Daphnia pulex: one gene and its partner. The protein of the gene in region 2 interacts with the protein of the main gene of each other region in a pairwise test. Links are inferred from orthologs where the notes say so. Each region holds a gene or a part of one and is shown on either strand. Other genes may lie near its edges.

Evidence for each region.
Region 1: the proteins of RING finger protein unkempt-like (region 2) and headcase protein homolog interact in binary tests that used the Drosophila melanogaster proteins (3 or more experiments, as listed by UniProt). The link is inferred for Daphnia pulex from reciprocal best matches to the Drosophila melanogaster genes unk and heca.

Annotation. Positions count from the first base shown.
Region 1 is NC_060028.1:336,629-341,101, forward strand, and holds the start of headcase protein homolog, read right to left. Parts: upstream 2,952-4,473; 5' UTR 2,423-2,951; coding exon 2,129-2,422; intron 2,065-2,128; coding exon 1,658-2,064; intron 1,588-1,657; coding exon 1,491-1,587; intron 1,035-1,490; coding exon 846-1,034; intron 571-845; coding exon 526-570; intron 426-525; coding exon 288-425; intron 1-287. UniProt on the Drosophila melanogaster protein: Required for imaginal cell differentiation, may be involved in hormonal responsiveness during metamorphosis. Involved in an inhibitory signaling mechanism to determine the number of cells that will form unicellular sprouts in the trachea.
Region 2 is NC_060023.1:5,054,921-5,059,452, forward strand, and holds the start of RING finger protein unkempt-like, read right to left. Parts: upstream 2,885-4,532; 5' UTR 2,663-2,884; coding exon 2,410-2,662; intron 2,276-2,409; coding exon 2,067-2,275; intron 2,008-2,066; coding exon 1,784-2,007; intron 1,676-1,783; coding exon 1,441-1,675; intron 1,389-1,440; coding exon 1,208-1,388; intron 1,150-1,207; coding exon 801-1,149; intron 725-800; coding exon 415-724; intron 364-414; coding exon 202-363; intron 129-201; coding exon 1-128. Other genes in the region: PHD finger-like domain-containing protein 5A, read left to right, coding at 3,134-3,185, 3,253-3,443, 3,549-3,638. UniProt on the Drosophila melanogaster protein: Essential for late larval/early pupal development.

The DNA of each region.
Region 1 (4,473 bases), on a different chromosome or scaffold from region 2:
AAATTATTTGCGAAATAATTATAATGTAATGAGTAATTACAATTTAATTAATCGAAGAATAAAAAATAAAATTGAACATGAAACAAAACTGAATCAAAATTAATTTAATTACAATTAAATTAGAAATTGTGGCTTTTAATACATTTTTCAAGTGCAATTAAATTTAAAAATGATTTTAAAATAAATATGAAAAAACTGAATTAAAATTAATTTAATTACAATTAAATTAAAAATGGCGGATATTAATAATTTCTCAAGTGCAATTAAATTTTAAAAAAGGGACTCACCCTGAGGCGTTCTGGACAACACGGAGTGCCAGCAAATACGTCGTAAGAGTACAGTGTGCCGAGAATAAACGAGCCGCCGTTCCACGGCGTCCGGCACGACCGGCATCTCAACGTGCACGTCCAACCCTCCAGACACGACTGCAAAACACACCGACAAATAGATCGTATGAATTATTATATTTCGTGTGTGTGTCTCGGGTTGAACGTTAAGTCAAAATGGCTAGAAATCACCACTCACCATGCACACGGCGCTCAAATATTGTTGACGTCCTTCCGAAGTCACCTGTTTAAATATATTAAAATAAATCAAAATTAAAACCCCCAAATTGTCAATTGAATGTCCGTGAGAGAAAACTGGTTCAAAGCGGATTGGCGGAAAAAAAAAACCTTGGGCTACGCAACAAACCAAATCCGCGCCATTACTACACGTGCCGACTACTATCGTTCAGATCGATATCCAGTTTTTTTCAAGGTCACATTGAACACTACCTGTGTATGTCTAGCCAGGACGATAAATATTTGCAAAAAGTAAAAAAAAAATTGACGTAATATTCTTACGGGAATGCAGGCCTTGGAGTACTGCTTTGGAGCCAGGAAGAAGGTGCCGTCAATGAGCGGATACCTGTCGTAGATTTGCATGGCGTTCTGGCAGACGACGCAAAATGTCTTGGACATTTTCGCCGTGGCCAAATTAGACAAAATGAAACAACGAATGTCATCATTCCCGTAGCTGCCCTCGTCTTCCATCTGTTATTTTTTTAAATAAAATAAAAACCAACATTTTAAATTAGAAATGTTGCACCTATTTAATTTGCATCTATTTAATGATAAATAATTGAATTCTTTACTATTTTTCGTCTTCCATCTTTTTTAAAAAATCAACATAGTAAATGTTGATTCAGCAGTTTGTTCTTATCATTTAACTATTTATATTTATTAAAATCCCAGTTCATTCACTTGGTATCAATTTCGAACTTTGCCCATAGGCGATAACCTTTTGAGTAAACGCGAAAATAAAAGATGGAAAAATTTCTGAAATATTTTTCCAGCCGAAAGATGGGAAGCAGGTAACGTTGCCATGGCGACCGTCTCCACGTGCAGCCGGTTATCTGCTTTCCCCCCTCAACACACATATGACCTTGATACACAAAGAGAAGAACCACTCCTCCTGCCTATTACGACCTAGAGTAGTAGGGGACTTACTTTAATGTGATAAGAGTTGAGCTTGTGGCGTGGTAACGCATTGAATGAACTAAAGTTGGCCCGATGGACAAACAGGCCACTGTTTCCCGATCCTCGCCTGATAACAAAATGTGTCCAAAATATTTAATTCATATTCATTTAATAAAACGTGAAATTAAGAATTTTACCTTTCCCGATCGTTGGAAGTTCGTTTATTCTTGTTATTGCTGAGAACAAAGACGGGAGCGGAAGAGGCTCCGGCTGAAGAAGAAGATGAAGAGTTGACGGCTTCAGGTGGTGAACTGGAGCCGGAAGATGAAGTCGTCGATCCGGTAGACGACAGACTATTGGCCCGGTGACGAATTTGATTGTTCATCATCATTTGGGCTGCACTACTACTACTGGGTTTAACATTAACGGCTTGTTGCTGTTGCTGTGGGCCGACCTTAACTATTGTTGTTGCCGATTTACGCCGTTGTTGTTTATTCTTTTGCTCATTTTCGCCAACAACAGCTGCTGCTACTTCCAACGGTTTCTTGGGCTGCCATTCGCAATCTTTGCGCAAATGGCCACGTCCGCACAGACACCCGCAGGCCTAACACACCAAACACAATCAACTATACAGTTTCAATTTAATTTGAAATGAAATTAAATTTTACCTTGAAGGCCAAATCGTATCCTTTTTTGGTCCACAGATTTTGACTTCGTTGACGCTCGGACCAACTACGGGCGCGGCCGCAACTACGCAAATAGTGCAGGACCGAGGCCTCCCACTGATCGAAGCACTGGCGATGCATCAGGCCGCTGGTCGGGCAATGCTCGTTGTTACACAACACCTTAACAATTTCACCACCATCTTCATTACTGCTGCCTTCAGATGATGTTATTCCGTCGACGATCGTCATGCAGCCGGCCGGTGTGCAACATTCTCCATTTTGAATGTTGTTGGGCATTTTTTCTTCCAAGATACTTTTTCAAAAGATATTCAACAATTGTAACTAATTCAACATTAACAACACGATGATTGTCAGTGATCTGCGCATGATCACCAACAAAAACAAAATTTTTTCAAAAGAAAAAAGGTGGAAGAGGGGGGGATATTAAATTGTTTCCAGTGTCTGTGGCGTGTGGCGTTGTTGACTCGACAGCCGACCGACAGAGACTGAAGAACATGCGACTCATCACGTTCGCCATCATAGTATAACTTGTCCTTCTCGCCACGCCGTCTGGCGGAATTCTCCGACAACCTATTTTTTAAATAATTCTTTTTATTTCTCTCGAGAAATTTCGATGAATTTGAATGTCTAAATTCTATTGAATTTATTTGACGATTTTTTAATTTAAAATTAAATTTGAGATGCTGAAAAACGTGTTGTCACGACACAAAGAAAATGGGAACCGACAGGAAATGGCGAAAAGAAACAAAAGTTTCAGCATGTCCAGACGTTCTATTCTTTTATTACGGCATTATTAATATTATCCCTGAGAGATTTTTAAAATTCTTATTTTAAAAAGCCGAAGGCTTACCGCCTTTTAAGGGTGAGAGATTTGAAGAAACAAAAGTTCCGACAGCGCTCCAAATAGTCTTAACTGTGAGAGGTCCCTGGGGAATTGGGGCAATTCGTGATTGGTCGAAGTGGTTTTCGGGACCGTGACACGTTCGTGCTGCTCCGATCGCGACGCGACTAATCCCATTCGATGTAGAATGACTTTTAACACAGGTAATGACTAAATTTTTTAAGTATTAACGAAATTAACGAGAGATTGGGAGCAAAAAGGGGAAAAAAAGGGGAAACTTCTAAAATATAGGAAAAAAATGTCTTCTAAAATTAGAGGATGCAACCACCTCTAATTGAAAGATGAACCTATCATTTAACGGAAAAGACTAAATTTGCATTACGTTATTTGTGGTTCGCGAGATATTTGACCAAGAAAAAGACACACAGATTGACTTTCAGTTGATTGTGTGCTGACTAGCAGACGACGTTAATTTGCAACAGCCAGTCTGCTTGTGGAATGTGGCATGGCCTACTGTGGGTATTTTAATTTGATCGTTTGAATGTTTGTGATTGATTTCATCTTGTGAAGCACTATGTTTATATTTCAAATTTTAACTATTGCAGCATTATAATAAGGAAAGAAAAACATGCCTATTGTGTCACAACTGATGGTTCCTTTACCTATCAAATCTGAACCACATTGGCAGATGGTTCACATGTAGGTGCTGAATCAACTGGAAAACGTTCAAAAAAAGGGAATTGAGAGTATGTGTTCATTTTTTTCGCTTATCTTTCTGTGTGATGAACACTAATCAACAAAATTATTTGCAGATTACATTTATCATCAGACATACCTCCATTTCAGAAAATTTTATCGTTAAGATGACAAGTTGGAAATTGATTTACTGTTTACATGTCACCTTAAGTGATATCATTGCATACCAGACTTTATTTGGATGCAAAACAAATTTCCCTCATTTAAAAGGCATGCATGATTTAATGGTTGAAATTTTGTAACGAAGAAAAAAGAAAGCTGCAGCTGTGGAAAATAGAATTGACAGGTTGTATTGATTATTCATTAATCTTTCTGTATGATGAAAACTAAACCACAAAATTATTTGCAGATTACATACATCATCAGACGCATGTCAGTTTCAGAAAGATTTGTCTTGAAGATGACAAAAGTTGCCAGTCGATTTACAAGTCACCTTAAGTGATGTCATAGCAGGAGCTTGTCATTTAGAATTTAGATAGTTTGTTACCATACTTTATTTGACATGATTGTTTTAGAGTTATTTCATTTTTTTTTTTTCAGGCATACTTCTATTTCAGAAAATTTTGTCTTGAAGATGACAAGTTGCCAGACAATTTACATAACACCCTAAGTGATATCATAACAGGAGCTTGTCATTTAGATAGTTTGTTTCCATAATTTATTTCACATGATTGTTTATAGAGTAATTTCATTTTGGTTGTTTTTATATTTGTAGGTACTCTAAAGCAAG
Region 2 (4,532 bases):
TCATCACGCTGTTGCTCGGCAACTATCGCTTTGCATCTCCAAGCATCGCAAGCATTCCTGGCTTGCGACAAATCCTCTTCTAAGGAGAGCACTTTTGCTTGGTGATTTGCCGCATCATCTCGCAACCTCTGTAATTTTGAATCATTTTGTTACTTGGTATTACTCAGTTAGTAAAATTAGTTAATAATCGTTATTCCGTACGTCATGATTTCCAAGCGATCCACTCATCGAAGCCACACTGCTTAGTAATGGTGAGTGGTTAGCACCGGAGCCTGTCAATCCTCTACAACTGTTGTTACTTGGACTAGTTTGGTGATTCCCCCAGTCAATAAATGGTGCACCGGTGTTACTATAACTTCCAACCTTCAACAAGTGTTAGCTAAGCAAGAAATTCTTCATTGGCAAGTCAATTACCCTTTTAAAGAAAAGAGAAGTCGAATTGTTTGATCCTTCCAATGGTATTTCGTGAGCGCCAACTCGTATTCCTGAGAACAGATTAACAGCCGGTGGTGAAGGTGACAAGCGAGGAGGGTGGCGATCAAGTCCACTTCGTGGAATATTAACCGGAGCAGACCCCGTCAGCAATCCTACACCCATCGTTATTGATTCACACAATGAAGGTTGTTCGGATTCATATTCTCGACTACTATCCTTAAACTGCTCTTCATTTTCATCCATTGCATGTCCAATAACGCAATCTGGAGCATTTGTTGAATTGCTTAATCTATACATAATAATTGTTAGGGCCTTGCTCACAAATTAATTAAGGTGGGATGAATAGTAATAAGTAATAACGTTACCTAGCCGCAGTCGGAAAATACGCGGCTGGTTGAAGATGTGACAATAGACCACCCAACGTTCCCGTACCGTATAGATTAGATTTCTTTGAAAGAGTATCGAATTGATCGGGATTTGTAATGGGATCCCATTCATCTCGATCCAAACTTATCATTCGATCGATTCCTGATGAGTTCATGTCGGCCCCTGGCACCGACAGTGATCTGGGTTTACATATTGGGTGTACTAGTGGGCCAAAGCCACCTATGGTGGTCCCAACTGCCGTTGGACCACTAGAAGCTAAAATTGATTCGCCAGTTTCAAGACTTTGTAATCGGCTGTAAGCTGTTTGCATAGGAACGCTAGTGCTTGCTGTGAGGAGAAATAACTCTAAATATTTGACATGAAATGCTAGGAAAAGTAGTAAAACCTGTGGCGGATGACGAAGTAGAATGGGTATCCAAAATGCTTCTAGGAGAATTATCTAGAAGTAGATCGATACTACGTCCGTCATTCAAGTCATTCAAATTGGTATTTTCTTTTCCGTAAGTTCGGTTATTTACAGCAGGCAATGCACTGGACAAAAGTTCAGCCAAATTGTTTCCACCATCCTTAACAGAAAAAATAGTAAGTTTTGGCAAAAGATTATAAATACTCCATTACCTGGTATTGACCATTATCTCTTACCACTTCAAAATCTCCGTGAGCAAAAGCACAAAATGATCCTCTAGGACAATAACTATTCGTCTGCATGTCATGACATTTAGTGGATTTGTATATCTCTGGATGAAATTGCTGCTCAGTTCGGGTGTGGCAATACTGACACATATCTCCGTTGTCACACCCAGAAGGATCACCCCATTCTTCTCCATGCTTGGCGTTAGGACAGGGTGTAGAACTAAACAGGAATGAAAAAAATAAAAAAAAATAATAATATTATTTTTTTTTTGAAAATTGCTTACAAAACACAAGGTTATATTACTTAAAATATATAAGTAATACATACCGGTATTTAAATTTTTTAGGACTCCTTCTGCGGTCTCGGCTGTTGTGATACTGAGGACAGGCATAGCCTTGTCGACATAGACGTGGCGGTTTTTTGCATTGCTCTGTTTTATAATTGGTTAAAACATAGTTTGTGTCCTGCCATTTGGGATCATCATTCAGAAGACTTCTTTCTTTATCAAGGGCATTAGGTCCACTCATATCTGCCTCAGCAGTTTCTTTAGCCTGTGATAATCAAAGCTGAATTTTTAAATGTAGGAAACAAATTTAATGATTTGCATTACCCTTATATCTCTGATGTCATACACTGGATTACGTAAATCAGAATTCCCATGAGCAAATGCACAATGAACTCCATTTTTTACACAGAATCCTCTTGTGTCAGTTTCATGAACACATGGAGCAGTTTTGAAGTACCTCAAGTGATATCTTCTCTCTGTGTCACCAGCAGTACGATGAAGGAAAGGACACTCATCACCATCTTGGCAAATACCTATGAAGATATAAGGTTTTATTACCTAAAAAGTTAACAGTCAAGTAGAGCAGAAATGCATATTTTAAAATGACAATGTTCCATTTTTATTGTAAATTTTGAAAGCAAAAAGATACAAAGTTTTTTTAGAATACCTGTAGTTTCATCATACTTTGTGCAATACTCATCAGCACTGTAATTCAAAGTACCATCCCTTCTGCGTACAGGTTTGCGCCTTCTTTGATTTTGAAAATGCCAGTGAAAGCAGGTGAATGGTCTATGTTGTGTACACTTGTGTTGTAAAAATAAAGGGCACTGTTCGACGCGGAATTTGTAAATATACGCATGATGCTGAGGTATTTCAGATTGCTGAATGGTTAAGTCGCGTGCAGTTACGTTATCAGGCATTTTTAGAAAATTGCACGTGACAACTCCCAGTAAGTGAACAGATCAAAAATTAAGACCTGAAAATTATTAGTGGATGTTTTGACGTTAGAGTAAAATTCCGCAAACTTGTAGAATATTTAAATTATTGACGTTATAATTTTTGTTGATACGCAACATACGCAACAGTAAAAAAAACCTCGTGACATCTAAATGAAAAGGCCAAAGCACCTTCCCCAGTTTTTGTTTGCAGACAACGCCGTCATGCTTCTGTAGCTTCCGCATTTCACTAATAGATGGCGTTTCTATACCGTCGTTCCTTGAAAAACCAGAAATCAGAAACTAGAAAATTGCCGGCTGTGGGCTGGCATTGAGTTGCTGAATGTTTACAGGTTTTCAAGGCAAGCAGCCAAGCAGCTTGGCGTTTTTACAGTTCACGTTGGGTATCCCGCTTTTAATCAAATATAATTGATCGACAAATTTGAAAACTCAACTATGGCAAAGCATCACCCAGATTTGATATTTTGTCGGAAACAACCAGGAGTTGGTATTTGAACATGAAATTCTATTCTTTTCATGCTATCTATTATTAATGTCTGATTTTGAACATTTAGCTATTGGCCGGCTGTGTGAGAAATGTGACGGAAAATGTGTTATCTGTGATTCGTACGTAAGACCATGTACATTAGTACGAATCTGTGATGAATGTAACTATGGATCATACCAAGGACGGTGTGTTATCTGTGGAGGACCAGGTGTCAGCGATGCATACTATTGTAAAGAATGTACAATTCAGGAAAAAGATGTAAGTGTGTAGTCCAAGTGATGCTTTTTCATTTTAGTTCTTAAGATTGAAGTTATATTGAAAGCTTAACGTATTTGATCTATTACATATCTTTGTTCTTTTCAGAGAGATGGGTGTCCAAAGATTGTTAATTTAGGTAGTGCTAAAACAGATTTGTTCTATGAAAGAAAAAAGTATGGTTTCAAGAAGAGGTAGCCTCATCACACTTTCCATTTACAAAAGTATGAATCTTTGTTGTAAATGAACAACCTTTGTGAAAAATACACCTTAATTTCTTTCTATCTGTTCAAGTAAAAAAAAGCCTCATTAAATGAAAAGGCCAAAGCACCTTCTCCAGTTTTTCTCTTTTTATCTCTTTGGGTAATAAATTAAATAGTGCTATCATTTTCTCCTGCTGTTTCTGTTAAAAGTTAAAATAATTCAAAATAATACTAAAATTTTTCATTTAATTTTAAAGATATTAGACAGGTTTGCATTGCAAATAAACAAATATACATTTGGTGTGTAATTGCTGTACCAATGAAATATTTTGCAAGCAGTAATTAAGACAGCAAAAAATATATTAAAATAAGTAAATCTTATATTGTAAGATGGCGAAGTTGTCCTAAATATATCGGGGTGGACGATTTTTTTTAAATATTGTTAATTCTAACCACGAGCAAATTTAATGAATAACAACATGATAACAATCAGATTCCCTTCAATGTACAGTGGGCACCTAAAGTGTCCGGACACCCGAGAGAACCTTATGGGAAAACCGCTGTTTTCGCAAGGCGAAAAAGTGGTCAAATTTTCATTCGATTTGAATGAAAATTTTTTCGTAGGTTCTCTCGGATGTCAGGAACAACCAATTTTTTTTTTTTGAATTTTAAAATAAGGGGAAGGGTAGGTTTTTGTCCGAGGCAAAAGTGTCCGGACAGTAGAGAGGCCCATATGTAAATGGGCTTACTTTAGGTTCAAATTGTGACTCACTGAGAAATGCTAGAGAAACGCAAACGGTCTTAAAAAAAAGATCTACGTTTCTTCTATGGCACCCATGAGTCACGATTTTTTAAAGCTATTAGAATTCTTTCCCTACCCACCCTCAAA